Elephas maximus indicus: one gene and its partners. The protein of the gene in region 1 interacts with the protein of each later gene in a pairwise test. Links are inferred from orthologs where the notes say so. Each region holds a gene or a part of one and is shown in the gene's direction. Other genes may lie near its edges.

Region 1 (7,767 bases):
CTAGAAGACAACGAAATGATGCCTTCAGAATTCTGAAGGAAACATTTTCAACTCAATCATGTTTTCAGATATGCAAGTACTCAGAAAAAAAAATTTTTTTTTTAATTTCCCATGCTTCCTTTCAAAGGAGGCCACTACACCATGTGCCTTCCGAAAGCAAAGGAGTATTGAGGAAATCAATCCAACACAGAGGAGAGGTAAGGGAATTCTGTGGGCAATAGAGACATCTCAGGATGATAGCTATTCAGCTGGGTGAGACAGCTACCAGTGCAGACCACAGCAGGTGAATGAAAGGCTCCAGAAAAAATGGAACTGGGGGATTACCTAATAGATGCGAATGAGTGAATGAAATGTGTATCCAGAAGCTATTGAATTTTGGTGGGAAGAATTAACAATAGGTTGTTAGTGACCATCAGATTATGACTCATGGTGACCCCACGTGGTACAGAGTAGAACTGTTTCATAGGGTTTTCTTGGCTGTTATCAGAAATAGATCACCAGGCCCATCTTCTGCAGTAGCCCTGGATGGGTTCAGAACACCAACTTTTAGGTTAGAAGTTGAGTACAAACTATTTGTGCCACCTGGAGACTATTAAAGTATATAAAAAGCAAAAACAAAAAAAAAAAGACAAAGCATTGTTGTGGAGTCGATTCAGACTCATAGCGACCCTAGAGGACAGAATAGAGCTGTCACGTAGGGTTTCCAAGGAGCAGCTGGTGTATTTGAACTGCCGGCTTTTTGGTTAGCAGCTCAGCTCTTAAAAGCAAATGAAAAAGCAAGGCTGTCTTAGTCATTTAGTGCTGCCATAACAGAAATACCACAGGTGGATGGCTTTAACAAAGAGAAGTTTATTTTCTCACAGTGAAGTAGGCTAAAAGCCCAAATTCAGGGTGTCAACTCCAGGGGAAGGCTTTCTCTGTCAGCCTTATTGATCTTCCCCCAGACTAGGAGCTTCTCTGTGTGGAGACCCCAGGTCCAAAGGACGCGCTCTGCTCCTGGCACAGCTTTCTTGGTGGTATGAGGTTCTAACTCTGCTTGCTTCCCTTTCCTTTTTATCTCTTGTAAGATAAAAGGTGGTGCAGGCCATACCCAAGAGAACTCCCTGTACGCCTGGGTAAGGGTGTTACAATCTCACCCTAATCCTGTTTGACATAAAGGTATAATCACAAAATGGAGGACAACCACACAATGCTGGAAATCATGACGCAGCCAAATTGATACACTTTTTGGGGAACATAATTCAGTCCATAACAAAAGCAATGATTAATGCCAGGAAAACCAAAAAGTAATAAAGGGAAGGAAGCAATCCTTGAACACACATGGCTTTGCAGTGAACATTTATTCATTCATAGCCAAAATAATCTCCCTGATGTTGTGTGCCGTCAAATGGATTCCAATTCATAGCAATGCTATAGGACAGAGTAGAACTTCCCCATAGGATTTCCAAGGCTGTAAATCTTTATGGAAGCAGACTGCCACATCTTTTCTCCTGCAGAGAGGCTGGTGAGTGAACTGCCAGCCTTTTGGGTAGCAGCCCAGTGCTTAACCACTGTACCACCAGGGCTCCATATAATGTCACTACTAAGTACTGGTTCTTTAGACATATTGTCAGGAGAGACCAGCCCCTGGAGAAGGACGTCATGCTTGGTCAAGTAGAGGGCCAGTGAAAAAGAGGAAGACCCTCAACGAGATGGATTGACACAGTGGCTGCAACAATGGGCTCAAGCATAACGATCTTGAGGGTGGCGCAGGACCAGGCAATGTTTCATTCTGTTGTACCTAGGGTCGCTATGAGTTAGGACCAATTCAACGGCACCTAACAACAAGTACTAGAACCAACAAAGTGTGATTTCACTATATTAAGAGGATGGGGGAGGTGGAAGAAAGAAAGAAATAATTTGGAAATCCATAGGCAACGTAGAGAATACATAAATCAAGAACTAGTGAGCTTAAAAAATAGTGACTATTCTGGAGATCACTTTAATAGTGACTATTCTGGGGGGTCGGAGCCCTGGTGGTTCAGTGGTTAACTGCTAACCAAAAGGTCAGCAGTTCAAATCCACCAGCTGCTCCTTGGAAACCCTATGGGGCAGTTCTACTCTGTCCTGTAGGGTCGCTGTGAGTTGGAATCGACTCAACGGCAATGGGTTTGGCTTTTTTGGTTTGTTCCAGGGGTGGGAAGAGGAATGAGACAGGGAGTCTTTTAATTGTTGTTAAAAGCTTCCCGCATACTATTTGCGTATACACACACAGTACCTTGATAAATATTTAAAATTAAACTAAAAGAAGTAAAGGGAAAGGTACAAACTGGAAATACCAGGTGTGCACAGAGTCTAGCAAGAAGGTTGATTTGGAGTTAAAAATTTGGCCAGGATATTAAAAAATTGCTGTCAAGTCGATTCGGGCTCATAGCATCCACAGAGGACAGAGTAGAACTGCCCCATAGGGTTCCCAAGGAGCCGCTGGTGGATTTGAACTGCCAACCTTTTGGTTAGCAGCTGAGCTGTTAACCACTGAGCTACCAGGGCCAGGATATAGTGAGACAAAAGGTTATAAAAGCAGAAGTGAGATTATGGAGAGCCTTGAACATCCTGCTAAGTATATTTGGGAGGCATTGGGGAATGTGGGAAGGTTTCTTAGAACAAAGTCCCTGGGCGGTGCAAACAGTTCGTGCTTGTGTACTAACCAACAGGTTGGCAGTTGCTTACCCAGCAGCCCTGCAGAAGAATGATTACAGCCAAGAAAGCCCTGTGGAACAGTTTTACTTGGTAACACATGAGTCGCCATGAGTTGGATTGACTAGATGGCAATAGGTTTGGTTTGCTTCTCTCAGAAGAGGTGTCTAAAAGAGATACTCTTCAAATGCAGAGGGGCAACAGTACACAAATGGAGTGAGAAGAGTCCGCACTTGTTACAAGAAAAAAAAACAAAGGCATTGCCCACAGCTGATTCCAACTTACAGCAATCCTATAGGACAGAGTAGAACTGCCCCTAGAGTTTCCAAGGAGTGCCTGGTGGATTCAAACTTCAGACCTTTTGGTTAGACACCATAGCACTTAACCACTACACCACCAGGATTTCCCCACGCTTGTTACTGTGGCCTAAAAGGCCCTATGTGATCTGGCCCTTTCCTACCTTTTCAGCCTCATCGTACCACTGTCCATCTAGTCACGATAGCTGTCCTCCTATTCTTCAAATTTGGAAGTACAATCAGAATGCTCCTTAGAAGTGAGGATGGCAAGATAGTTGCTTACTTTGGATATGTTATCAGAAGTGACCAATCCCTGGAGGACATCATGCTTGGTAAAGGAGAGGGTCATCAAGAGAGGAAGACTCTCAGTGAGATAGATTGGCACAGACCTGCAACAGTGGGCTCAAGCGTAACAACGATTGTGAGGACGGGGCAGTGTTTCATTCTGTCATATATAGGGTCGCTATGAGTCGGAACGCACTCGACAGCACCTGACAACATTCCTGCTTTGAGTCTTTATACTCACTCTGCCCTCTGCCTGGAATACCCTTCCCTTAAATCTTCTCGTATCTGGTTCCTCCTCATCAGTTAGGTCTTAGTTCAAATGGAAGATGTCTTCCTTGACAAACTCATCTTTCCTCTGTCTCTATCACATTACTCCATTTTATCTTCTTAGTAGAGTTTATCACTCTCTGGCTTATTTGGAAACCCTGGTGGTGCAGTGGTTAGGCTACAGCTGCTAACCAAAAGGCCAGCAGTTCGAATCCAGCAGGCGCTCCTTGAAAACTCTATGGGGCAGTTCTTCTCTGTCCTTCAGGGTTGCTATGAGTTGGAATCGATTCAACGGCAGTCAGTCTGTTTTTTTGTTTTTTGAAGTTTATCTATTTACAAGCCTATGTGCCTCCTAGATGAGTGAAGGTTTTGAGGGCAGCCTTACCTGTCTTTCTACTTCTATATCTCAGGCATGGCACCATGCCTAGCACATAGTAGGTACTCAGTATTTATTAAATTAATTAAAAACTAAGGAGTGAGGAAATCTGTCAGGGCACCATCATACCTAGTTCTAGGAGTCCTTGGGTGGTGCAAACGATTAAGCACTGGACTGCTAGCCAAATGGTTGCCGGTTTGAACTCACCCAGAGGCACCTGGGAAGACAGGTCTGGTGATCTGCTTCCAAAAGGTCACAGCCTTGAAAACCCTATGGAGCACAGATCTACTGTGACACACATGGGGTTGCCATGAGTCAGAACTGACTCTGCGGCAGGGAACAACATACCAAGTTCTAGTTTGAGACTCCCTGTCCCAGACAGGCACGCATACCTTCACTTGCCTTTCAGCCCATTTAGTGAACCATTGCTATGCACCTGACCCTGGCTGGGCTCTGGGGCTGTAAGGCGGATTCAGAGCTCGACCCTGCCCTGCCCTCAAGGAGTCCTGTTTGGTGGGCTCTTTTTTTTTTTTTTATGACCGCAGCTGTACTTCTCACCCTAAAGTGCCATACCGAGGTCCCTTGCTTCCAGCGATCCGTGCTTAGAACCACTTCCCACTCTCCCCAAATCTGGGGACCGAAGAGACCCTGCTTCCCTTCCTCCCCGCCTGCAGAGGAGGTCTTCGGTCCAGGGCCAGGGCCTCGGAGGGCCCAGGAGTGCGGCCGTCCTGGTCAGGGCTCCCCTCCAGGTCTGGGCCCCAGGCACCGCGCCTGCTCCCCGCCGAGCGGGGGCCGGAGCCGTGCGCGCCAGGGCCCGGCTTTGCGCGCATCCAGCGCTCGGCGGCCCGCGGGGCGGGGCGCGGCCCGACCCGAGGCCGCGGCACCGGAAGAGTCGCGCCGCCAGGCGGGCCGGAGCGCGGAGCGGAAGCTTGGCGGGCGGCGCTGGGACCCGGGGGAGGCCGCAGAACAAGGAGCTGGGCTGAGCCGCGCCGACTGCCCCGAGGCCCGGCCCGGCGCCCGGGAGGCCGGAGCCATGGGCGAGACCAAGATCATCTACCACCTGGATGGGCAGGAGACGCCGTACCTGGTGAAGCTGCCGCTGCCCGCCGAGCGCGTCACCCTGGCCGACTTCAAGGGCGTGCTGCAGCGACCCAGCTACAAGTTCTTCTTCAAGTCGATGGACGACGATTTCGGGTGAGGGGCCCCCGCCCGCACCGCGGACCCCGCCGCCTGCTTTGGGGGCCACCCGGCCCGCTCGAGCCCCCCCGGCTGTCTGGGGGAGCTGGGGTTCCAGCCCCGCGAGGGACCGCCCGCTCGCCTCTGGTGGGGGACCTTGGCCCCTTGGGGCACCCAGCTTAGGGGAACGTCCAACTCCCCAAAAGCATTCGGCTCCTGGCCCGCCAGCCCCTCACCAACTCGATGGCCCACGTAGACGACACACAACCCCTCCCCCCAGGTCCGGCCCTCCCCCGCCAGGGGAGCCACCTCTTCAGCGCAGACTTGGGGTGTCTGGCACCCAGCCTAGCGCTTCTCCATCTTTTCAGCTGCACGACTCAGGGCCATATTTGGAGCACCCCGCATCTCGGGGCTACGCCGGGGGGACTGCGGACTGGGGGGAGGGAGGTGGCCGGGTGCTGGGGCCCTGCAGACCTTGTGTTTGTTTAGCTGTCGCCCCCTCCCTTGTGGTGTGTCTAGGATGTTGTCAAGGGAGCGAGGCGAACGCCTGGCCCCTGAGGAGGAGTCCAAAATATCCCAGGTGCTTGCTCCCCTCAGTATTGAGGCCTTTTCCTCCAGGTGGTGGCCAAGGGGGAGGCCTTGGAAAGGGCCTCAGAGCCTGAGAGCCAGGAAGAGCCTCTTGGTGTTCTCCATTTTCCCCTCGCTGGCGGGGTCTTCCCCTCCACCCAGCTGCAAGGCTGTGGACAGGCAGAGTTTGGAAGCTGCCACTTCCCCTTTAAGAAGGGATGGAATGTTGGAGCCGGAAGGTTCTGTAGCAGCTGGCCTGGGAAGGGGAGCCTAGCCCATCTCCTCACCGCCCCCCCAGCCCCCCCCAACTCCCAATTCCCGGGGGACTGGAGGAGGGGAAGGCCCCCACACCAGCCTGCATCCAGGAGCTGGGTGCTGGCCTAGAGGCCCCTGGGGAGGCCTCACAGGGTCCTTGAGGCCTGCAGCCATCTCTCCAGCCTCTGCCTGGGGCCTGCACTGCCCTTTGGGGCAGAGTGAGGAGAGACAGTCTTCTCCCATGTGTCCATCAGTCTGGCCGCTCTCCCAGGACCCTGGCCCTCCTGGGTCAAGAAGCAAGCACCTTCTGTCTTCTCCTTGGCATGCTTGGCTGTCGCTTTCCACCCTGGGACTCTGGGTTTGAGGAGCCTGTGAGATGTGTGTGTGTGATCATGTATGTGAGATTTTGTGATCATATGTATAATCCTGTGTGTGTGTGTGAGAGAGAGAGAGAGTGCTTGGTACAGTGGGAAGTGCTTTGTGGAGTCCAACTATCCTGTTGTCTGTTGTCTTTGCTCCTACCCTGGGGCAGGGTACTCCTGGTGCCATGATGATTATCTGGTTTCAGCCCAGAGACAGACACCTCTGATTGGAAGATTCTGAACAGGGATCGATCTGGAAGGGGCAGGGGCAAGGGGGCGGGCGGCCTGACCTAGTTGGAGAAGAATAGGGTCAGAGAACACCAAGATACTTCCTGGGAATATAAGATGTGGAAAAACAGTTACAGTCCAGTGGGCTGGGGCCACCCTGGGGCCAGGTGCACTGAGGGGCTAGGATAGACTTGTGTTCCCACCCCGCACTCACCCCTGGGCCCACTCGGCCTAGCCCCATCTCCTAAGCCTAGACCTCTCTGGGCTGCCTCCTGGCCGGGCCTAACTGCAGTCATAGAAGGATCCTCATTACATCCACTTAACCAAAACCTGTTGCTGTCAAGTCAATTCCGACTCATAGCGACCCTATATTTACTGTTTACTGAATGTTTTCCTTTAACTCCACTGTCAGTCAGCTGCTTTTTTTCTTAGCTTGACCTAACCAGTAATATGAAATCATGGGTCTGACTTTCTATTTATTTTTTTCTAAAATATGTTCAAATAAATACATGTAACTATTAAACTAAGCAACATTCATTCAGGTACCATTTAAAGCCATCTTGCTTACATTAGTGGTACTGACACCACTCTTTTCAAGATATCAGAATAGGTCACTTTAGCAGAGCTGAGAACAATGCTACAAAGGAAGCGGAGGAGACTGATTTCGCTCTTACCCCGCTCCTCCCCAGGAGGCTAAGTGAGCAGAAGGCATGGTAGCGCTCACTTGTCACAGAGGACTCCAGCGTGCCAGACACTGATGTCAATGCTTTTTGAACCTTCACTGAGATCCCACTTTACAGACAAGGAAACTAGGGCACAGAAAGATTAACTTGTCCAGGGTCACACCGCTAGTACATGGCAGCAGAGCTTGATTTGATGTTAGGGATCTGGCTCCAAAGTCTGTAGCCTTAACTGCACAACTGTAGGTATTATTGTTGTTGTTAGGTGCTGTCAAGTCGGTTCCGACTCATAGCAACCCCTATGCACAGCAGAGCGAAACAGTGCCTGGTCCCGCGCCATCCTCACAGTCATTGCTATGCTTGAACCCATTGTTGCAGCCACTGTGTTGATCCATCTCGTTGAGGGTCTTCCTCTTTTTCACTGACCCTCTACTTTACCAAGCATGATGTCTTCCTCCAGGGACTGACCCCTCCTGATAACATGCCCAAAGTATGTGAGACGTATCCTTACCATACTTGCTTCTAAGGAGCATTCTGGTTGTACTTCTTCCACGTAGGTGTTACTACTACCCGCATTTTATAGACGCTTTCTCTCCAAG
Region 2 (7,484 bases), on another chromosome or scaffold:
CTTGTAGGCATTTGAGTTTCTCTGACACCTGTGAGGTACTCTCTCCTCAGACATACATGACGGGTTGCCCAGTTGGATAGTAGGAGCAGTAGCTGAGAGACAGAAGCAGCTTCAGTGAGTAGCTGGAGACCATTAATGACAGAGACCAAAATCTCTGCTTACCGAGAGAGAAGCCACAAACAGCAACCAGGATTAGACTGTGAGTAGGGGGCACCTCCAGTCCTGAGCTCAAGGCCTGGAGCTGTGGCCCCTCCTGGCCTCTGGCCTGGCTTTCCTGTTGTCCTAGTTCTTGGTCCCACAGCTCTCTTCATAATAAACCCCTGTTACCTGACGGTACCTGAGTGTTCCTTGAACCTAGTGCTGGGCACATTGTTATTACCAGAAAAATCTCCCCGGAAAGTTGTGCTGCCTTGGATGCAAGGTGGCTGGGGTGACCTCTGCCTGCTCCCGTTAGCCAGCCCTGGGTTGTGTTATCTGAAGCAGGCGAACTGCCTCTCATATCTGGGCATGGGGCAGGTGGCCCCTAGGGCCCTAGGAGTGACACTGTTGGCTGGAACCCTGGGTCTAGAGCCTGCCTTCCCCCTGGGAAGCAGGTCGCCAGCCTGCCCTGAGCCAAGCTTTGCTCTCAGAGCTCAGGCAGGACACGCTTGGCTGAGGTGCCTTCAAGAACCCACTTCCCTTCTTCACATCTCAGTTTCCTCATGTATAAAATGAAGGGTTTAGATTATTTTATGAATTTAAAAGGTTTTAGTAGAACTGTTTTTTTAGACAACATCTTACACTGAAATCCAATGAAAACAAAATACTAGTATACAATCATCCCTTTGTATCCTCGGGGAATTGGTTCCAGGACCCCTAGAGATACCAAAATTCGAGGATGGTCAAGTCGCTTGTATAAAATGGCGTAGCATTTGCATATAACCTACACATCTTCCCTATACTTTAAATCATCTCTAGATTACTTATAATACCCAATACAATGTAAATGCTATGTAAATAGTTGTTATACTGTGTTGCTTAGGGAATAATGATGACAAAAAAGTCTGTATATGTTCAGTACAGCTGAGCCCAGACCACGGTTGACTGCTGTAACTGAAGCCTGGGAAAGGGAAACCGTGGATGGGGCGGGGGGACTGTGAGTGTACTTATACTATAGGGTCGCTGTGAGACCGAATGGACTCGGCAGCAACAGGATTTTTTGGTTTACTGTAAACTTATTATTTCAAGTTTATTTCAAATTTATAAAATGTACTTATTAAAAAAGGCAATCAGTAAGAACTAAGGCTGTTTTGATGAACAGGATAGTTGATTTGCATCAACCGCTGCTTCCAATTTATTTCTTTGCTTTTTTTTTTTTCTTTTTCCACTGGTTGCCAGTATTGAGAAAATCAGGGAAAACCCAGATCCCAGTTAGTAGCTGAGAAATAGTTTTTAGCTAGCCTTGCAATTTCAGGATACTGAAAGAGTGGTAGAATTTGTTTCAAGGCAGAAATCACTAACTATATTAGGGTGGCCCATATGTAACTGCCAATAGGCCACCCCATCAATCTTGATTTACAAAAAGCCGGTTTGTATAATTCACTGAAACAATAATAGCTAATATTGACTTAACTGTGTTCTAGGCTCCGTGCTGAACTCTGCCAGCGTGGCTTCGTGTAATCCACGCGACAACTCTCCATTCTACAGATCTGGACACTGAGGCTCGAGGGGCTGCCCAAGGGTTACACAGGTGGAGCCCCAGGTGGCGGGCCCCTGTCGTCCCCCAGCCAGCCTGGGAGAGAAGAATCACGCCTCTGTGCGCAGCGGCGCCCGCCGGCCCGCCCGTGGCCCAGGGCTGTTTGTTTTCTTAACGGGGTTAACCAAACCTCCTGAGCAGCCTCCGCCGCCCAACAGAAGCCCTGCCACTGAAAGGGGGCTTTGTATGTACCGGCGGCGGAGGGCGAGGGCTTGAGCCAAGACGTGCGGAGCTGGCTAAGCCAACCTGGGCGCCGGTTTGGGGGCTCCACCAGCAAGCAGGGCCGCCCACAGGAGCTGGGGCGTGTCGGGAGGGACGTTTTCACACCCAGCCTTCCTCTCTTGTTGTCTTGGTCCTCTGCAAGCTGTGGGCTTCAGGTCTTCACAGCCGGCCCAGAGTGCTCCGGCTCCCTAGAGGGGGTGGGAGGAGTCAAGAGACAGGTGTCTAACCTGAAGGCCCCTGGAAGATTCCTGTTGTTATACCCCTGCAGGCTTTCCTCCAACCTTTTAGCAACCCCTGCTCCCTTCCTGCTGCCTCCCCAGGCTCCCCCTCCCCTCCATGGCCATTGAGTTCCTTCTACATATTGAGCCCATCAGAAGCAACCACTGACACACAGACCAGGTCCCTGGCCTGATGGAGCTTAGAGTCTGGGGGAATGTGGGGGAAACTAAGGGAGACACATACTAAACACAATAAGGTTTGTAGTAAGTGCATAGACTGATATGATAGGGTGGTCAGGAAGGAAGGCCTCTTGGAGGAGGTATTGGGCTGAGACTTGGAGGATAAACCCACCAGGTCAAGGGTCAGGGAAGAGTTGGGGAAACAGCACGTTCAAAGGCCCTGAGGCAGGAAAAAGCTTGTCTTTGGTTTGAAGAACTAGAAGACGGTCACTGTGGCTGGAGCCTGGCATACAAGGGGGAGAGGGGATGGGATGAGATGGGAGGTGGAGGCTGGGCTGGGTCATTTAGAACTTTGTAGTCTGGCAGGGATTGGGGTTTATTCTAAGTGCAATGGGGGAAGAGGGACAAGGAAAAACAGGGAGACCCATTAGAGGACATGGCAGTTTTCTGGGTGATAGGGGTTAAGACAGAGGGGCAGACTGTCAATAGGTTGTGTGATCTAGAAGTCTGAGGAGGCCACCCGGGACAGTAGAATGTGGTGGAGGCCCTGTGGGCCCAGGTGAGCTGGGTCCCTGAATGATGGGCCCTGTAGTGCCGGGGAGGAAATGAAATGCCAGCACTTCTCTTCGTAGTGGGTCATTTCCCTTCCAAGGAACCACATCAGGTTCCTAGAAGTTTCAGCTTCCTGATTTGGGGGCCCATATGAGATGGGATTTGGGAGAAGAAAGTGTAGGAGATAGTACTGGTGAGAGACCTGCTTCCCACCTTGTGGGGTCACTCTCCCAGCCTCTCTTGGGAGCACAGCAAGAATGAAGATTTTCTGCTTCAGCTCAGCGGGGAAGGGGGGTGATTCAGTGGTTCCCCCTCCTCCTAGCCACCAAGACAGGCAATTTGCTTCCTCTTTCCCACCCACCCCAGAGTCCCCAACTAGGTGTCAGCTCTTGGAAGGCAGGGCGTGGCCCTCTCCTGCCCCCAGGGCCTTTGTGGGGGAGAAGCCAGTGGAGTCAAAGACACTGTCATGGTGCTGCCGGAGGACAGCAGCTCCCTCTGATTGGGGGGTGGAGGTGGCCAAGAGGTGGGAGCAGAGGCCCTTTATGGCAGCACAGAGAGTGATTAAAATCACTGCCACACGTCCAGAAAGACCCTGCCCAGAAGGGTGGGCAACAGCAGCTTGGGGCCACCTCCCACAGTCCCTGGTAGCCATCTCCATCACCAGCCGCCTGCCCCTCCAAGACCAGCCACAACCCAGCTGTCATGTACTCAATATTTACTAAAGGCTTAACATGGATGATCCCAATTTTCAGTCTCTTGAGGGAGGCATATTTTGCCTATCAGTCAGATGAACACATGTCTAACACAGTTCCAGAAATCCAGTTTGTCTTACCCCCCGACCAGAGCCTGGGTCCCTAAACTGCCTCTTCCCGGCACACTGGACCTGGAGCAGGTTCGTGGTGAGGGAGCGAGGGAGGGATGGACCAACGGACGGGCAGGCCTGTGGGTGCTGGGGGTGTAATCAAAGCCGGATTGGGTCCTAGCATTCCCAGGCATGGCCTTAGCTGGGGTCTCCAGGCGGTGACTCCCCCTCCGGGTTGGGCCCTGGAAGTGGAGAGAAGGGGGTAGGGGGTTGGTGCGACCCCGAGGAAGTGTCTGAGGAACTCAAGGAACGTCCTTGGTTGGCCCCCAGGGCAGGCACCGAGGGCTGGGCCCTCCACCGCCCACGTGTGGCGGCGCCCACAGGCCCAGGTCCTTAGTAGGCACTCAAAGGGTAGGTGAAATTTTGACTCGCCCGCGTTTCTCGCAATCAGCGGACGGTCAGTAAATGTTTGACAAACAGATGACTCTCCGCAGGAGGAACCCCACTGGGCTCAGAGAGCGACCCTCGACTCCCGCCACTCCACGCCCTTCTAATCTTCTGGGCGCAGGCCCCGGCGGCTCGGGGAACGCCGGGGGCGGGGTCAGCGTGGGGCGCAACAGGGCCAGGGCCCGGGGGCTGGGCTGCGGGCCGGGGGCGGGGCCTGAGGGCCGGGGTCGGGGCTGCGGACCCGGGGCGGGGCCTGGGGGACTGGGGCGGGGCCATGGCCGGGGGCGGGGCTCCGCGCCGGGGTCTAGTCTGCGCCGGGCAAGTTCGGGCTGCCAGCGTCGGGAGAGGAGCCGGCCCGGTTGCCGATGCTGGAAGTTCACATCCCGTCTGTGGGGCCCGAGGCCGAGGAGTCCGGACAGAGCCCGGAGAAAGGACACATGGTGAGCGAAGCACCGGGATGGGAGGGACGCGGGGACCCGCCGCAGGATTTCCCCACGCGGAGCGCCCTGGGGACCCTGCGCCCGGGCTGGGGCGTCCGAGCGCGGTGGACCAGGCCGTCGGGGAACAGCGTGTTGAGGGTATCGGGGACGCTCGGGTTTGGCTGCCCCGCGGACCGTGGTCCGGGCACCTCAGGAGCTGTCTGGAGCAGAGGGGTGGGTCCGCCAGCCCCTCCTCCCAGGTGTTGGGGACGCGAGAGGGTCCTCGGGGAGCAGCGGCGCTCCACCGCCGCTTTGTGCCTTGTGAGCGCAGGAGAACGGGCGCGCCGCTGGGCACTGGTCCTGCTGGTCCCCCGTCTGGACCTCACGCGCGCGCCCCGCCGCCCGCCCGCCAGGTGTTCCGAGTGGAAGTGCTGTGCCGCGGGCGCAGACACACCGTGCCGAGGCGCTACAGCGAGTTCCACGCGCTCCACAAGCGGGTGAGGCGGCGCCGACGACTTACCGACTCCCACCCCCGCCGGCCCTGACCAGCCCCTGGGAAGCGGGAGGACGGGCTCTGGCCCAGCGCACTCCCTTTATGGCCCCAGTCCATGAGGGAGCAGGTCCTGGGCACAGACCGCCCGCAGACTGCGGGGCCATCGTCAGGAGGGCGTAGGAAGGCAGGTCCAGTCCGCAATGACCGTGCCCCTGCGCAGCCGGCCGGCCCTCGGGCGTCTGTGCGACTTGGGGCCCACCTAGCCCCCACCGCCATTACCCGGGTCCATGCCAGGGTAGAGCTGGAAAGGCGGGCGGGAAGGAGTGGAGAGGGCTCTTGGCTAAGGTGGAGTGGGCTTGAGGGCTCAGCCAGGGAGCTGTGACAGCACCGCGGTAACCTCTGGCAGATCAAGAAACTGTACAAAGTGCCCGACTTCCCATTGAAACGTCTGCCCAACTGGAGGACCAGGGGCCTGGAACAGCGCCGACAGGGCTTGGAGGCCTACATCCAGGTACTGTGGGCCACTCTGGGTGCCCTAAGCTGCTGGCCTGGAGAGCAGGAGAGGGGCCCTTATCTTGGGCACGTTATTCACTACCCTAAGCCTCAGTTTTTCTGAACAATGGGTCCACACAAACTTTGCTGGCTTGTTGAAAGGACTGAAGGAGGTAGCCAGGAGACAGGTGATCCCATTGCAATCAAAGTTAGTTCCCTTACCCTGCAGGGGTGAGTTCCTCTGCTCCCTGTGATGGGGAAGGAGGCTAGGGGTCCCCTCAGCCACAGTGATGGGGGATTACAGCCAGAGGGCTTCAGGGGCATAGAACTAGTGTAGTCACACAGGCCCCACTGTTCAGAAGGGCTCTGAGCTTGGTGTGATGCTAGGCTCTTAACTTGAAACTCTTAAGCCATTTTTTTACCAAAGGGCCTGCATTTTCATTTTGCACTAGGTTGTGCAAAGTACCAGCCTTCCTCTGTCCTCCTCTCCAGGGCGTCCTGTACCTGAACCAGGATGTGCCCAAGGAGCTACTGGAGTTCTTGAGACTTCGGCACCTCCCCACAGACCCCAAGGCCAACAGCTGGGGGTGAGTACCTCAAGGGGCTGAGGCTTGGCAAGGGAGAGGGGCCAGTGCTGGGGGTATAGGGGCTCTTGGCAGCAAGCAGAAGAGGACAGATTTGGGGGCCAAGCCCCACTTTTGCTCCTCACCTCTGCCCAGATCCTAGACTGGATCTTCCTCCTCCTGAGGCCTGCCTCCCTCGTCAGCATTTTTTTTTTTTTTTAATTTTATCGTGTTTTAGGTAAAAGTTTACACAGCAAATTAGGTTCCTGTTTTCACAATTTTTATACACATTAGTGACACTGATTACAGTTTTCACAATGTGTCAGCATTCTGCTTGTTGTTTGTTGATCTAGCTTCCCTTCCTGTCTTAGTCATCTAGTGCTGCTATAACAGAAATACCACAAGTGGATGGCTTTAGCAAACAGAAGTTTATTCTCTCACAATCTAGTAAGCTAAAAGTCTGAATTTAGGGCACCAGCTTCAGTTGAAGGCTTTCTCTCTGTCAGCTCTAGGGGAAGGTCCTTGTCATCGATCTTCCCCTGGACTAGGAGCTTCTCAGTGCAGGGACCTCATGTCCAAAGGATGCAAGCTCCTGGCTATATTTTGTTGGTGGTATGGGGTCCCCATGTCTCTCTGCTCGCTTCTCTCTTTTATATCTCAAGAGATTGGATCAAGACACAATCCAATCTTGTAGACTGAGTCGTGCCTCATTAACACAATTGCCGGCAATCCCATCTCATTAACATCACAGAGATACGATTTACAACACTTACAACACACAGGAAAATCACAGCATATGACAGAATGCTGGGCATTACATAATACTGAGAATCATGGCCTAGTCAAGTTGACAGATACTTTGGGGGGACACAACTCAACCAGAAACACCCTCCTTGCCTTCTCATCTTTGCTTTTCGGTAAATGCTGACCATTGGGTCTCATATAGTTGATTGTTTAAGGGAGCACATTACTCGGGGGCGATATGGTTTGTTTTATTAAGCCAATCTATTATTCGGCTAAAAGGAGACCTCCAGGAGTAGCTTCAGTGCCAAGTTCAAAGGTTATCTTAGGACAATAGTCTCAGGGGTTCCTCCAATCTCTATCGGTCCAGTAGGTCTGACCTTTTTTAGGAATTTGAATTTTGTTCTACATTTTTCTCCATTCTATCTGGGACCTTCTATTGTGTCCCTGGTCAGAATGGCCAGTAGTGGTGGCCAGGCACCATCTGGTTATTCTGGTTTCAGGTTAAAAGAGGGCTGTGGTTTCATGTGGGCTGTTAGCCCCACAGACTAGTTTCTTCTTTGCGTCTTTGGTTTCCTTCATTCTCTTTTTGCTCCAGATGAGTGAGACCAATAGATTTA
Region 3 (7,218 bases), on another chromosome or scaffold:
CCGCTTGCACCACCCAGGGACCCCTCTTGCAAGAAAAGGTATGAAATATTATTAAGTCATACAAAGGAACCATGGTTCCTGCCACAGCGTGGGTGAACCTTGAAAAGACGCTACGTGAAAGAAGCCAGACGCAAAAGGACATATATGATCCCATTTATATGAAATGTCCAGAACAGGCAAATTCATAGACACAGAAAGTAGGTTAGTGGTTGCCAGGGGCTGGATACAGACAGAGGCACTGGTGGTCCAGTGGTAGAACCCTTGTTCCATGCATGAGACCAGGGTTCAAGTCCCGACCAGTGCACCTCAATGCACAGCCATCACCTGTTTGCCAGTGGAGGCTTGCGTGTTGCTGTGATGAACAGGCTTCAGCGGAGTTTCCCGAGTAAGACTAGGAAGAAAGGCCTGGCAATTGATTTTTAAAAAATCAGTCAATGACAACCCTATGGATCACAACAGCTCAATCCGCAACCAATCACCGGGATGGTGCAGTACCAGGAAGTGTTCCATTCTGTTATATATACGTGGGGTCACCATGAGTTGGGGGCCGACACCACAGCGGCTGACACCAAGGTTGAGAGAACTAGGAGTAATTTGTTACAGTGTCGGGGAAGGCCTCTGAGCATAGGGCCTTCACGCTCCCCTCTCCCAGCAGAAGGAACGGCCGGTGCAAAGGCCCTGGGGCAGGACGTGCCCGGTGAGTTGAAGGAACAGCGAGGAGGCCCATGTGGAGCGAGCCAAGGGAAGAGAGAAGGGAGGCAGGCAGGGGGCGGGGCAGGTCGTGCAGGGCTGTGTGTCCAGAGCAATCCTGAGGTTGAAGATCAGTGTCTGTGGTGTTTGCAGGGCATTTGGGAGCCAGACTGTCCACGGTGGGGACGACAGTGAAGTTCAGAGTCCAGGAGATGATGTGGGGTTGGCAGAGGGTGCTGAGTTTGAGGCGTGGACTGGCGCCCAGGGTTTTGGGAAAGAATATGTGGGGTAGGGCGAGAGTTCACAGAGCTGGGGAGTGGGCACCCCCATGCTCAGCTGGGAAAGCTGTCCCCAGGGTGTGGGGCTTGTCTGGGGTCACGACCTGATGGGCCCTCCAAGGCTCCAGGCAAGGCCGACCTGACTCGCAGTTCATCCACCCACTTAGTGACTTTGCCTTTTTGCTTCCTCCTTCTCCAGGTGGGTAAAACCCCTGACTCACAGTGACCCTCTGTGAGTCAGGCCTGCGCTCCAAGGAGTTTTCTTTTTCTTTTTTTTTTATTCTGCATGAGGTGAAGGTTTACAGAGCAGATTAGGTTCTCATTCCATAGTTTGTACATAAATTGTTTCATGGCCTTGGTTTCTTTCCCCACAGTGTGTAAGCCTTCTCCCTGCTTTGCCCTGGTCTCCTCCTTTCCTGTCCTCCTGATTTTCTACCCCTTTCTGCCTTCTCACCTTTGCTTTTGGGCAAATATTGCCCTTTCAATCTCGTATAATTGCTTGTTCCAAGGATCACCTTCCTCTTGGGTGTTATTATTTATTTTACGGGCCCGTCTATGGTTTGGCTGACAGGTGGTCTCCGGGAATGGCTTCAGTTCCAGGCCAGAAGGGAGTCTGAAGGCCATAGTCTCTGTGTTCCTCCAATCTCTGTCAGACCAGTAAGTCTGGTCTTTTTTGTGAATTTGATTTTTTGTTCTACATTTTTCTCCCACTCTGTCTGGGACCTTCTGCTGTGATCACACTCAGAGCTGTTGGTAGTGGTAGCTGGGCACCATCTAGTTCTGCTGGTCTCGGGGTCGTGTAGGCTGTTTCACGCTGTCCATTAGTCCTTTGGACTCACTTGAGTCTTTGTTTTTTTTCACTCTCCTTTGCTCCGGACTGGAAGAGACCAATCGTTGTATCTCAGACGGCCGTTCGCAAGCTTTTAAGACCTTAGACACTACTCCGAACATTGTGTTTATGAGCTGCGTTGTGCCAGCTGACATAGGTGTCCCCTGAGTCTATGGTCCTTTGTCTTTGAGCCTAGGAACTTCATCCTGCAAGGTGTTTGGTTATGTCTATGGAGTTTCCCGACTCTGCCCCTTGTGAGCTCTGTTTTCTCTGTTAATATATAAGGAATACCTACAGTCACATATTTAGAAATAGCCAGCACCACACCTGTATCTGCCGGTGGGTGTGTTCCCTTAACCGCCCCCACCCACCTCATGGCATATCTATCTACCTATATATCCACTCATAAATTGTTGTTAGTGCTGTCGAGTCGGTTCCAACTCATAGCAACCCCTATGCACAACAGAATGAAACACTGCCCAGTCCTGTTAACAAACACTAATACTATCGTTGCAGGATTGTCGTGTTATAGTAGTTACTGGGGCTGCCCTTTAGTTCTGCGGTCCTCTGTGTCCTCTCTTTGCCTTGGCCATGTTGTGCTGACTTACCCCAATATTAACATGTATTTCTGGAGCCCCAGTGACACAGTGGTTAAGAGATATGGCTGCTAAACCGAAGGTTGGCAGTTCGAATCCACCAGGCACTCCTTGGAAACCCTGCGGGGCAGTTCTACTCCATCCTACAGGGTCACTGTGAGTCGGAATTGACTCGATGGCAGTGGGTTTGGTTTTTGGGTGTAAACCTTTTGTTGTTCCTTTATAATGGTGGTCTCATACAATATTTGTCCTTTTGTGATTGACTTATTTCACTCAGCATAATGTCCTTCAAATCCATCCATGTTGTAAGATGTTTCAAGTATTTGTCATTATACTTTCTGGTTGCATCATATTTCATTGTGTGTATGTACCACAATTTGTTTATCCATTCATCTGTTGATGGGCAGTTAGGTTGTTTTCACATTTTTGCTATTGTGAATAGTGCTGCAGTGAACACGGGTGTGCACGTAGGTCTATTCTTGTCACAACTCTTATGTCTTTTTTTCAGTGATTGACTTTTTTTCCCTTTTTCTATTGTACTTTAGATGAAGGTTTACAGAACAAACTGGTTTCTCATTAAACGGTTAGTACACATATTGTTTTGTGACATTGGTTAACAACCCCACAACATGTCAACACTCTCCCTTCTCAACCTTGGGCTCCCTATTACCAGCTTTCCTGTCTCCTCCTGCTGTCTCGTCCTTGCCCTGGGCTGGTGTGCCCCTTTAGTCTCGTTTTGTTTTATGGGTCTGTCCAATCTTTGGCTGAAGGGTAAGCCTCAGGAGTGACTTCAGTATTAGTTAAAGGGTGTCCAGGGGCCACACTCCCAGGGTTTCTCCAAGAAGCCTGGTCTTTTTATGTGAGTTAGAATTTTGTTCTACCTTTTTCTCCAGCTCTGTCTGGGACCCTCTATTGTGATCCCTGTCAGAGCAGTCAGTGGTGGTGGCCGGGCACCATCTAGTTGTGCTGGACTCAGTCTGGTGGAGGCTGTGGTAGATGTGGTCCATTAGTCCTTTGGACTAATCTTTCCCTTGTGTCTTTAGTTTTCTTCATTCTTCCTTGCTCCCGAAGGGATGAGACCAGAAGAGTATCCTAGATGGCCGCTCACAGGCGTTTAAGACCCCAGACGCTACTCACCAAGGTAGAATGTAGAACATTTTCTTTATCAACAGCTCTTATTTCCTTAGGGTGTATACCTAGGAGTGGGGTCACTGGATTATATGGTATTTCTAGTTCTAGCTTTTTGAAAGGAGCGACATACCGTTTTCCATAGTGGTTGTACCATTTTGCATTCCAGCCAGCAGTGTCCAAGAGTTCCAGTCTCCCTACAACCTCACCAGCATTCGTTATTTTCTGTTTTTTTTTTTTTTATTTGTGCCAGTAATATCGGGGTGAGATGGTATCTTGCTATAGTTTTGATTTGAATTTCTCTAAAGGCTAATGATCACGAGCATTTCCTCATGTGCCTGTTAGCTGCCTGAACGTCTTCTTTGGCAAAGTGTCTGTTCATGTCCTTTGCCCATTTTTTAATTGGATTGTTTGCCTTTTTCTTGTTAAGGTGTTGAAGTTTTCTATAAATTTTAGAGATTAGACCCTTGTCCGATATGTCATAGCCAAAATTTTTCCCCCCAATCTGTAGGTTCTCTTTTTATTCTTTTGGAGAAGTCTTTTGCTGTGTGTAAGGGTTTGATTTTTCTGAGGTCCCATTTATCTAGTTCATCTTCTGCTGTGTGTGCATTTTTAGTTATGTTTGGTATTCTATTTATGCCATATATTAGGGCCCCTAGTGTTGTCCCTATTTTTTTCTCCACGATCTTTATAGTTTTATATTTAGGTCTTAGATCTATTTTTTGTTAGTTTCTGTGTATGATGTGAGGTATGGGTCTGTTTCATTTTTCTACAGATAGATCCAGTTTTGCCAGGTCCATAGGGTTTTGATGGCTGGTTTTTTGGAACTACATTGCCAGGCCTTTCTTCTGAGGTGCCTGTGGGTAGACCGGAACCTCCAACCTTTTGATGAGCGGCCAAGCACGTTCACTGTTTGCACCACCAAGGGCGGGGGGCTTGGACCGTGGTGAGTGGGATTCCAGGTGGTGGGTTTGAGGTTCTTGCAGGTTGGTCTGTTTCGTGGGAGGTTGTGGGCTGGACTTGTCGGGGTGGGTGGGAAGAAGTGTCTGTGGCCGTTTGCTGGGTGCAGGACCTCCTGTCCCAGGGAAGGTGGGTGGACTCGTGGGATGGGAGAGGGGGAGCTCTGGCCACTGTGGTGGGCGCCGGGTCTCTGGCAGGTAGAGTGGACAGGTGAGAACCATCCTAACCCTCTCCCCGTCTTTGATGACTTGGGGCAGGACTGGAGTCGACTAATTTGGGGGAATAGCAGGCGCTCCCCTCCCATAAAAACCCAAGTCCTCCTCACAGCCCACAGGGCCCTGCGCAACCTGCCCTGCCCCCTCCCTGCGCTCCCCTTCTCATCTATCCTCCTCACTTACTCCAGCCCCATGGGTCTCCTCACTGTTCTCCAACTCACCAGGCAACAGTCCTGCCTCAGGGTCTTTGCACGGGCTGTTCCTTCCACCTAGAGCACCCTTCCCCCAACCTTATCATTCCAATCCCAGCTCTAGGGGCTCCTCCTCAGAGAGGCCCTCCCTGACCACCGCAGCTAAGGTCACCTGTCTGCCACTGGCTGTCACCCCCATCCCTGCCCCCCAATTCCTTTTCCTCTGCCTGTCTCCACAGCTCTTATCTCTCTCTAAAACTATCCTGTTTAGTTCTATTTTAAGGAGCCCTGGTGGTGCAATGGTTACGCACTCAGCTGCTAACTGAAAGGTTGGTGGTTTGAATCCACTCAGCAGCTCCGCAGGAGAAATGCCTAGTGATCTGCTCCCGTGAAGATTACCGCCAAGAAAACCCTACTTTGTCCCATGGGGTCACTATGAGTCAGAATCAACTTGACAGCAACAAACAACAACACTTCTGTTTTTACAAGTTTCTGGCACCTCCTCCTTCCAGCAGGGATGACGAGGCCTCCTAGGGGACTGCTTTGGAAATCTGAGGGGCTCTTTTTGCTCATGACAATGTGGGGTATCCTGGCATCTGGGGGCAGGGGCCAGGGTCACTGCGTCTAGGCCTGCACGAGGTAGCCCCTCAGCACTTATGAGGACGGTCCCTGTCAGGGAAGGGCCAGGTGGCACAGCCTGGGCAGCCTCCTGGCCTGCCGGCCTCAGCCTGGTGAACGCAAAGGCAGGAAGGAAGCCGCCATTTATTTTTGTCCGTGGCCTGCTCCCCAGGGACGGCGGTCATTGCTCTGCCCAGCTGCTTCGATGGAGGGGTTTCTGGCAGAACAATGGGTCAGCAGGAGGAAGGGGAGGCCACGAAGCTGGGCCGGCCCAGGTGTGGGCAGGGCTGGTGGCTGGTGGAGGGGTGTGGAGGCTGGAAGGGAGGGTGCAGCTGTCCCCTCCCCTGGCCCTTTTCCTGCTGGGCTTGCAGGGGTGAGACATTTGGGAGCCCAGGCCCTTCCTGAAGTTGGTAAACAGGCTGCAGCCAGCTCCCCTCCTGAGCCAACACACCCAACCTCGGGATGCGCAGATGGGAAGGTCGAGGCCCAGAGAGAAGCAGAGCCCTGCCAGGGTCGCACAGCCATCAAGATGGGCAGAAAGACCTGGGGGCTAAGGCCTTTTCCTCCCTCAGCCTCAGTTTGTTCATCTGTAAAGTGGGCAGGCAGGACCGAGTGGCTGGGGGTTCCCTCTCAGTTCTGATGTTTACAGACATCCTTTCCCTCATGTATTCGGCAAACACTTATGAACCACCTGCTGTGTACCAGGCCCCAGGCTGGGCACCAGGACATTGATGAACAAGACAGATGCAGCCCTGCCCACACCGTCAGGCAAGGGAGATGGACACAGAAACCCAGGTGCCCAGGGCTATGACGGGATGCCCAGGGTGCTATGGGAGCTAAGGAGGCACCTGACTCAACTGGGGGCACCTGGCAGGGGTTCCAGGAGGAGGTGTCTTGAAGGATGAGTAGGAGTTTGCCAGATGAGTAATAGGGGATGGGGCGGGGGTCCAGGTACAGATAAATGGAATATGAGAGACAGAATGTTCTGGAGAAACTGGCATTCACAGAATGCATCAAAGAACTAGGTTTGCAAGTTCAAAGAGAGCTGAGTGGGGGAGCCTGGATGGTGAATTTCAGACAATGGGTCCCAGCATTTTGGGGACTCGTAGCTTGAAGGGCAGGTACTGGCTATAGGCTCTGCCCCAGGATGAAGTTGGTTGTGAGCTTCCCCAGTTTACAGATGAGGAAACTGAGGCACGTGGTGGTGTTGTTGCTTGCCTGAGGCATCAGAGCCAGGAGTGGGCCCTACATAGGCGGCTGGTTTTATTATAGGGGGCGGGGGCAGACTCGAGGTGACTTTCAGGCGTTAGGTGGGGAAGGCGGGGGTCAGTACCTTCCAGGCAAGCGGGAGGGAGTTTGGGCAACACAGGTGTTAGGAACAGGCCAACTGGGTTCAAGTCCTGGCTCTGTTACCATATTGTGTGGCCTTAGGGAAGTGGCTCAGCCTCTCTGAGATTTTGTGTTCTCGTCTGCAAAACTGGCAGCCCACCCACAGAAGGATAGATCTGGCAGAAAGGACAAAGGGTCATGTGTCACCAGGCTGGGCCTGCCACATGGTGCTGCGTATACGGCACCCCTGTTCTGGCCCAGGGCTGCATAGAGCCAGGGTCCGGTGACCGCAGTGGGGGCAGGGAAGTCCGCTCCAGCAGCCCGGGCCGCCAAGGGCAGGCGAGCGGGCGGCTGGGGTTGGGACTTCTCCCGGGGTGGTCTGAG
Region 4 (7,688 bases), on another chromosome or scaffold:
GATTTTACTATGCCTATCGACCTAGAGTCGCTATGAGTAGGAATTGACTCGACGGCACTGGGTTTTTTTTTTTTGGTTTTATTGACCTAGATGTACTGAAACCAAGGTCCCCAGACTCCCACTCCTCTTACGCTGGCCTTCGAAGCATTCGGTTTATTCAAGAAACTTCTTTTTTTGTTGTTTAGTCCAGTTGTGCTGACCTCTCCTGTATTGTATGTTGTCTTTCCCTTCACCTAAAATAGTTCTTGTCTACTAATTAGTGAATACCCCGTCCCTCCCCCTGCACACTCATAACCACCAAAGAATATTCTGTGTTTCTACTATTTCTCGAGTTCTTATAATAGTGGTCTTATACAATATTTGCCTTTTTGCAACTAATTTCACTCAGCATAATGCCTTCCAGATTCCTCCATGTTATGAAATGTTTCATGGATTCATCATTGTTCTTTATTGATGCATAGTACTCCGTTGTGTGAATATACCATAATTTATTTATCCATTCATTCATTGATCGTCACCTTGGTTGCTTCCATTTTTTTGCTATTGTAAACAGTGCTACAATGAACATGCGTGTGCATATATCTGTTCATGTAAATGCTCTTATTTCTCTAGGATATATTTCAAGGAGTGGAATTGCTGGATCATATGGTAGTTCTATTTCTAGCTTTTTAAGGAAGCACCAAATCGATTTCCAAAGTGGTTGTACCATTTTACGTTCCCACCAGCAGTGTATAAGTGTTCCAGTCTCTCCACAACCTCTCCAGCGTTTATTATTCTGTGTTTTTTGGATTAATGCCAGCCTTGTTGGAGTGAGATGGTATCTCATTGCAGTTTCGATTTGCATTTCAGAAACCCTGGTAGTGTAGTGGTTAAGTGCTACAGCTGCTAACCAAAAGGTCGGCAGTTCAAATCCGCCAGGTGCTCCTTAGAAACTCTACAGGGCAGTTCTACTCCGTCCCATAGGGTCGCTATGAGTCGAAATCAACTCGGTGGCAGTGGGTTTTAATGGCTAATGATCGTGAGCATTTCCTCATGCATCTGTTAGCTGCCTGAATGTCCTCTTTGGTGAACTGTCTGTTCATATCCTTTGTCCATTTTTTAATTCGGTTATTTGTCTTTTTGTTGTTGAGTTTTTGCAGTATCATGCAGACTTTAGAGATCAGATGCTGATAGGAAATGTCATAGCTAAAAACTTTTTCCCAGGCTGGACTGCCAGGTGGCCAGGCCTGGTACCTGGATACTACCCCTCCGGGGGCCAGTAGGGATGGTGCCTCCGAGGACCTGCAGACGCCCGGTGGCGTGGGTCCAGGGCTGGAGAGACAGACTCCGGCTCTCTCCTCATCCTGCAAAAGGGCAGTGTCAGGTCTTTTGACTCTTTTGGTGAAGTGTTTGGATGAGCATAGGTGTTTAATTTTTAGGAGCTCCCAGTTATCTAGTTTCTCTTCTGGTGTTTGCACATTGTTAGTAATGTCTTGTATACTGTTTACACCATGTCTTTATCATTTTAGACTTTATATTTAGGTCTTTGATCCATTTTGAGTTAGTTTTTGTGCATGGTGTGAGGTATGGGTCTTGTTTTTTTTTTTTTTTTTTGCAGATGGATATCCAGTTATACCAGCACCATTTATTAAAGAAACTGTGTTTTCCCCATTTAACTGACTTTGGGCCTTTGTCAAATATCAGGTGTTCATATGTGGATGGATTTATGTCTGGATTCTCTGTTCTACTCCATTGGTCTATATATCTGTTGTTGTACCAGTCCGAGGCTGTTTGGACTACTGGACTTCCAACTATTTTTGGTGAGGGCTGCATGCCTGAGGCTGAAGGCAGAGACGGGAGACTTCCAAGTGGGAAAAGGCAGCTCTGCTGTGTGCCAGGGGCCAGCGCACCCTCCATGCCCTCTCTTTAGCCTCTGTGAACCCTGTGCCCAGCGGGATGCCTGCTGGATGTTTAGGAGTGCGTTTCATCAACCCATTTCATGGTTCTTTTTTAGCTGGGGGTTGGCGGGGAGGGGCGGGTTATTCAATAGGAAAGGTAAGCACGTTTTTCTCACCACATCAAACTTTGTGCTTCTAGGTGTGGCTGGCATCTGTCTCTCTCCCAACCCCACAGCACCTTCCTACAAAGCCTCTTTTCAAACTTATAATCCCTGACAGAGACAGATAACCCAATCACCCGTGTGAAATTGTTCACTACACATTAGTAAGCAAGCATAAGTAAGCCTGTGCTTACCTTGCTTACTGGGTCATCTGCCCCTGGAGGTGTCTACAGAAGCTTGCTTGGGCTTGGGGGCCACTCTGGTAGGCTGTTCCCAATGGTCCGAGTCAAGAGTTCCAACTTGGTGCCTGAGCATCCTGCACTATTTTGCAATTAAAAATATCCAGATGCAGGCAGATGAGGTAAAGATGCTCACTTGGGGCCCAGGCAATGGCACTGGAGAGGTGGTGTCAGCTCGCCCTTTGGAGGCCTGCTTGCATCAACCCAGCCTTCACCCAGTAGGGCCCCCTGACCTGGGTCCTGGGTGGCCTACTCCTCCCTTTGCTTTATATCTGAGTTCCAGGGGTGTAGGAGGTGTTAGAAGGCTACAGGCACTCAATTCCCAAGCCCCCTAAATCCAGAAACTGGCATCTCCTGGAGGGACGGACCAGTAGATGTCCCTGGCAGGACCACAAGGCCAGCGCACACCTGCATCCCGCCTGGGTGCCTCAGCGGACCTGCCGACCCCGGTGGCGCAGGTCCAGGGCTGGAGGGACAGACTCTGGCCCTCTCTAAAAAAAAAAAAACTAGTGCCATCTCTGCATCCCGCAAAAGGACAGCGTTAGGGCCCCGCCCAGGTCTGTCCGTAGGATCCCCAGGCTTCCTAGACCTGCCGGGGGCACACAACGCCCCAGCGCGAGCACGTGGAGCCGGTGCGCAGGATGGGTCTGGGGGCGGGGCGAGGAAGGAGCCCCAGGAGGAGGCTTCAGTGCGCTCGCCCCGCCCAGACGCCCCCCACCCCGCCCTGTCCGGATGCCCAAAGCCCCCTGCCCCGGCCCGCCCAGGTGCCCAAGCTTCCTGCCCCACCCTTTCCCCATGGCCAAAGCCCCCACCTCACCCTGATCAGATGCCCTAAGCGTCCCCCCCATTCCACCCTATCCCAAGGCCTGTACCCCCAGCCTCACCCTGATCAAAAGTCCATACCCTGGGTGGGAGAGGAGTATTCACTAGTTAGATAGTAGATAAGAACTACTTTAGGTGACAGGAAAGACAACACACAATACAGGTGAGGTCAGCACAACTGGACTAAACCAAAAGGAAAGAAGTTTCCTGAATAAACTGAATGCTTTGAAGGCCAGCGTAGCAGGGGCAGAGTTTGGGGACCATGGTTTCAGGGGACATCTAAGTCAAATGGCATAATAAAACCTATTAAGAAAACATTCTGCATCCCACCTTGGAGAGAGGTGTCTGGGGTCTTCAACGTTAGCAAGCGCCCATCTAAGATGCATCAATTGGTCTCAACCCACCTGGAGCAAAGAAGAATGAAGAACACCAAGGACACAAGGTAATTATGAGGCCAAGAGACAGAAAGGACCACAGAAACCAGAGAGTACAATCAACCTGAGACCAGAAGAGCTAGATGGTGCCCGGCTACAACCAATGACTGTCCTGACAGGGAACACAACACAGAACCCCTGAGGGAGCAGGAGAGCAGTGGGATGCAGACCCCAGATTCTCATAAGACCAGACTTAATGGTCTGACTGAGGCTAGAAGGACCCCGGTGGTCATGGCCCCCAGCCCTTCTGTTGGCCCAGGACAGGAACCATCCCTGAAGCCAACTCTTCAGACATGGACTGGACTGGACATTGGGTTGGAGAGGGATGCTGGTGAGGAGTGAGCTTCTTGGATCAGGTGGACACTTGAGACTATGTTGGCATCTCCTGCCCAGAGGGGAGATGAGAGGGTAGAGGGGGTTAGAAGGTGGAGAAATGGACACGAAAAGAGAGAGTGGAGGGAGGGAGCGGACTGTCTCATTAGGAGGAGAGCAATTGGGAGTAAGTAGCAAGGTGTATATAAGTTTTTGTGTGAGAGACTGACTTGATTTGTAGACTTTCACTTAAAGCACAATAAAAATTTTAAATAAAGTCCATACCCAAAGCCCCCTCCCGCCTCGCTCCGACCCCGCCCCTCGAGCGGCGCGGCCCCGCCCCTCCGTGTTGCCAGGGGAAGTGACGTCACAGCGCCATGGCGGCGGCTCTCTTAGGCAGCCGAAGGGGGATTTAGGCCCGGAAGATCCGAGTCCATCCGCGGCGGGGAGAGGACCACAGGGGCCGGCAGGGGCCGGAGCAGGGGCGGCGGCACTCGGACTGTCCCATCCGTCCCGTATTGAGGCGCTGGGAGCGGCGGGGAGGCCGGAAAGCGATGGTGAAAGCGGGGCCGTGAGGGGGGCGGAGCCGGGAGCCGGACCCGCAGTAGCGGCAGCAGGGGCGCCGCCTCACCGGAGCTCAGACCCAGGAAGCGGCCGGGAAGACAGGAGCGAGCCGGGCCGCAGTCATGGAGCTGAGAGTCGGGAACAGGTACCGGCTGGGCCGGAAGATCGGCAGCGGCTCCTTCGGAGACATCTATCTCGGTGAGGCCGCGGCGCCCCCCTGCCGCCCCCCGCGCCCCTCCCCCGCCCCGGGAGCCGACCCCAACCCGGCGTTCGGCCCCCGAGGGCGAGCCCCCGGCCCCGAGGGCGCCGGGGCGGGGCGCCGGGGTCCGGGGCCTCGCGGGGGGACTCCTGTCCGCGCCCGGTTCACTGGGTTCGCCCCGTGTCAAGACCCCCCACCCCCCGACAGCTCGAGACCGAGCTTGGCGTCCAAGAGGCCGGAAAAGGGGGCTCCGCTGGCCGGGCGCGGGAGCTGGGGGCGCTTGTAGGGCCTGGTGGCCGAGGAGGCGGGGGCTGCCCGTGTTCCGGCCCTAACCCCCGCCCGGCCCCAGTCTCGGTCCCCGGCCCTGACCCCCGCGCAGTCCCGCCCTCGGTCCCGGTCCCTGACCCCCGCCCGGCCCCGCTCTCGGCCCCCGCGCCCCGAGTCCCAGTCGCCGGCCGGAAGTAGCTGTGCCGCGGGTGGCGTGGGCAGGGCCTGGACAGCTGCGGCCGAGAGGGGCAGCGCCCCGTGGGAGTCTCGGGCGTCGGCGAGCTCCCGAGGCGCTGTCCCCCCGGCCACCTTGCGGCCTTGTAGGGTCGGGCTGTGCTCGTCCCCACGCCCTCCTGTCGCCTACAAGTAAAGGCCACGGCTCCTTCTCCGCAGCCCCCATGGGGCTCACGGCTGCGTCTCACACACGTGGGGAAAATGTCAGAACAACTGGAATGCGGTTGGAGGTGGGACATCCTGTGGCTGTGTTCCTAGGTACTCTGGTTTCTTGTTGCTTTATACTCCTGCCTTTTGCAGGATGGGCCTCGGTGGGTCCTCTCTGGGCTGTGACCTTAGTTCCCCTGAGACTGGAGGGAGGCTTTGAGAGCACTCTTGTTTGCATCTTAGCCCAGCGTAGGGGCTCGGGGTGACCGCTGAGGACAGGTTGAGCATCAAGTGAGGCCAAAGCAAGGTGCCTAGAGGTGAAGAGTTAGGTTACTGTGGACAAAGTCAGGCTGATAAAGTAGGAAGAAAGTTGTGTTTCTGAGCCTGGCATTTGGCTGTTGGGATGCTCAGAAACCAAACCCATTGCTGTGGAGTCAATTTTGACTCATGGCAGCCCTATAGGACAGAGTAGGACTGCCCCGTAGGGTTTCCACGGAGGGGCTGGTGGATTTGAACTGCTGACCTTTTGGTAAGCAGCCAAATGCTTAACCATTGCGCAACCAGGGCTCTAGAATTTTCAAGCTTCAGCTGAAGTGTTTGGGATTTTTAAAAAAGCACGTATATACACAGGCTTATGATAAAAGAATGGCTGAAATCTTAAAGTTGGGAATTGAAAAATAACCAAGTTTTTCTGCATTTTCCCAAGCAAGCATGTTGTGTCTAAGCTTCTCAAGCTTCCTGAACTTGAGAACATGAGCCTGGCGTGCCGGCAAGTGTGCAGAAGAATTGTTGCATAACCTCAGGGTAAACATGGCCTGTTGTTGAGCAGCCCGCTTTGGCTGTTCTGTTTGGCTCGTGTGCCTGTTAGGGAGGGCCAGGAACCGCTGTCTTCTTCCTGGGTGTACAGTGATTCTCTGTTGGCTTTTCAGACTAGCCAAGTCTGTGCTGACACCCCCACCCTCCCCTTGTTACTGAGGAGGAGATCCAAGACCTTGTGGCTAACATGTTTGGGGAGCTCCCCCACTGCTCTTGGTGCCTGGTTAACCTCCAGGGTAACTCATCATGTGCTGGGTGGATGCCTGTGGGCCATACTTCTGCCTTACTGGCCTGCTAAAGAAAGGCTGCTGTAGAGATGCTTGGATTTTGCTGTTTAAATATTTATACCGAAGGAGTCATTGGGTGCGTTCTCAGCCTGTTTGGGAGTGCAGTGCTGGGTAAATGCAAGCTGTTTGCCTTATTTATGGAGGAGATCTTGGCAAAAGTCTTAATCTCAGATCTGGGAGCTGTACTGAAAAGCCAATGCATTATCCAGCCTTACACGGGCATCAGAAGTAGATGATTTGAAACTTTTTGTTCTCTGATCTGAGATCTTGCCAAACAGCTTTGTGCTTTCAGAAGATAAATTCAGACCATTAAGTTGCCGAATTGTTTTCACTGAGTCGTTCACAGAGGGGTGCCCTCTTCTCACAGGGCTGGAAGCTTGGAGCGGGAACCCTGTCTGCTTATTTGCCGTGGTGTCCTTTGGGCCTCCCTCATATTAAACCCAGCGTGGGTGTTTAATACAGGTGGGGGATGGGCCCCGAGGGGTCTGTTCTCAGGCTTCTCCTCTTTGTGTGTTCTGAGGTGGTGCACTGTGGCTCCCGGACACTTGGATTGGCACACCTAGGCAGCCCATGACTTGTGTGGGCCTGTTGTCGTAACGTGCTGTCAAGTTGGTTCCAATTCATGGTGACCGTATAGGACAGAGTAGAACTATCCCTATAGGGTTTCTAAGGAGTGGCTGGTAGATTTGAACTGCTGACCATTTGGTTAGCAGCTAGGCTTTTAACTATTGTGCCACCAGGGCTCCTGTCTGGGGCTAGGCAGGACGGATTAATTTCTAGTTAGTCAGCATTGGTTTTGGCTCACAGTCTATGTTCTTGGAGGCTACATGCTGCCCCACCAAGGAAATGTGAAGAGATCTTGTTAGCTTGAGTAAGACATGGCTAGGTCAGTTGGTTAGAGCAAAATCATCATATACTGTGGTGAAGAGTCCAAGAGGCTGGGCCAGCACTGTGAGGTACATTGAGTCATCCATGTTATTGGTTCCCATTCGTGTAGGCAGTTAGGCAATTGAGTTGGGGCCTCATCCTGAAAAGCTGGTCATAGGAATTTAGTAAGATTCTGGTTAAAAGCATTCCTGTTGCCGCCACTCTGACATTAGATAGCTCTGAACTGCTCAAGGTAGGGTTCACCTTGTTTTGAGACTGGCATTCCAGGCTTTGGGGGTCTAGCTCGGACTTCAGTGCTTGTAGGTGTTTGCAAATGTGGGGAGGGGAGTCTGTCCCTGTGTTTGCTGAGCACTTTGTGAGCAAGAAGACCCAGTGCTGGCCGACCTTCTCTAGCTGCCTGCTGTGCAGATGGAGCTTGAGGGAGGGCCACAGGCTGTCTTT

What was found.
Region 2: the proteins of DVL3 (region 1) and SNX22 interact in binary tests that used the Homo sapiens proteins (3 or more experiments, as listed by UniProt). The two-hybrid records come from large-scale screens. The link is inferred for Elephas maximus indicus from reciprocal best matches to the Homo sapiens genes DVL3 and SNX22.
Region 3: the proteins of DVL3 (region 1) and TNFAIP8L1 interact in binary tests that used the Homo sapiens proteins (3 or more experiments, as listed by UniProt). The two-hybrid records come from large-scale screens. The link is inferred for Elephas maximus indicus from reciprocal best matches to the Homo sapiens genes DVL3 and TNFAIP8L1.
Region 4: the proteins of DVL3 (region 1) and CSNK1D interact in binary tests that used the Homo sapiens proteins (3 or more experiments, as listed by UniProt). The two-hybrid records come from large-scale screens. The link is inferred for Elephas maximus indicus from reciprocal best matches to the Homo sapiens genes DVL3 and CSNK1D.

Annotation. Positions count from the first base shown.
Region 1 is NC_064819.1:30,911,078-30,918,844, reverse strand, and holds the start of DVL3 (segment polarity protein dishevelled homolog DVL-3), read left to right. Parts: upstream 1-4,766; 5' UTR 4,767-4,933; coding exon 4,934-5,094; intron 5,095-7,767. UniProt on the Homo sapiens protein: Involved in the signal transduction pathway mediated by multiple Wnt genes.
Region 2 is NC_064831.1:54,377,492-54,384,975, forward strand, and holds the start of SNX22 (sorting nexin-22), read left to right. Parts: upstream 1-4,477; 5' UTR 4,478-4,521; coding exon 4,522-4,596; intron 4,597-4,906; coding exon of another isoform or gene 4,907-4,988; coding exon 4,989-5,072; intron 5,073-5,474; coding exon 5,475-5,579; intron 5,580-6,052; coding exon 6,053-6,147; intron 6,148-7,484. UniProt on the Homo sapiens protein: May be involved in several stages of intracellular trafficking. Interacts with membranes containing phosphatidylinositol 3-phosphate (PtdIns(3P)).
Region 3 is NC_064821.1:7,642,096-7,649,313, forward strand, and holds the start of TNFAIP8L1 (tumor necrosis factor alpha-induced protein 8-like protein 1), read left to right. Parts: upstream 1-4,208; 5' UTR 4,209-4,330; coding exon 4,331-4,467; intron 4,468-7,218. UniProt on the Homo sapiens protein: Acts as a negative regulator of mTOR activity.
Region 4 is NC_064837.1:72,069,104-72,076,791, reverse strand, and holds the start of CSNK1D (casein kinase I), read left to right. Parts: upstream 1-4,675; 5' UTR 4,676-5,273; coding exon 5,274-5,367; intron 5,368-7,688. UniProt on the Homo sapiens protein: Essential serine/threonine-protein kinase that regulates diverse cellular growth and survival processes including Wnt signaling, DNA repair and circadian rhythms. It can phosphorylate a large number of proteins.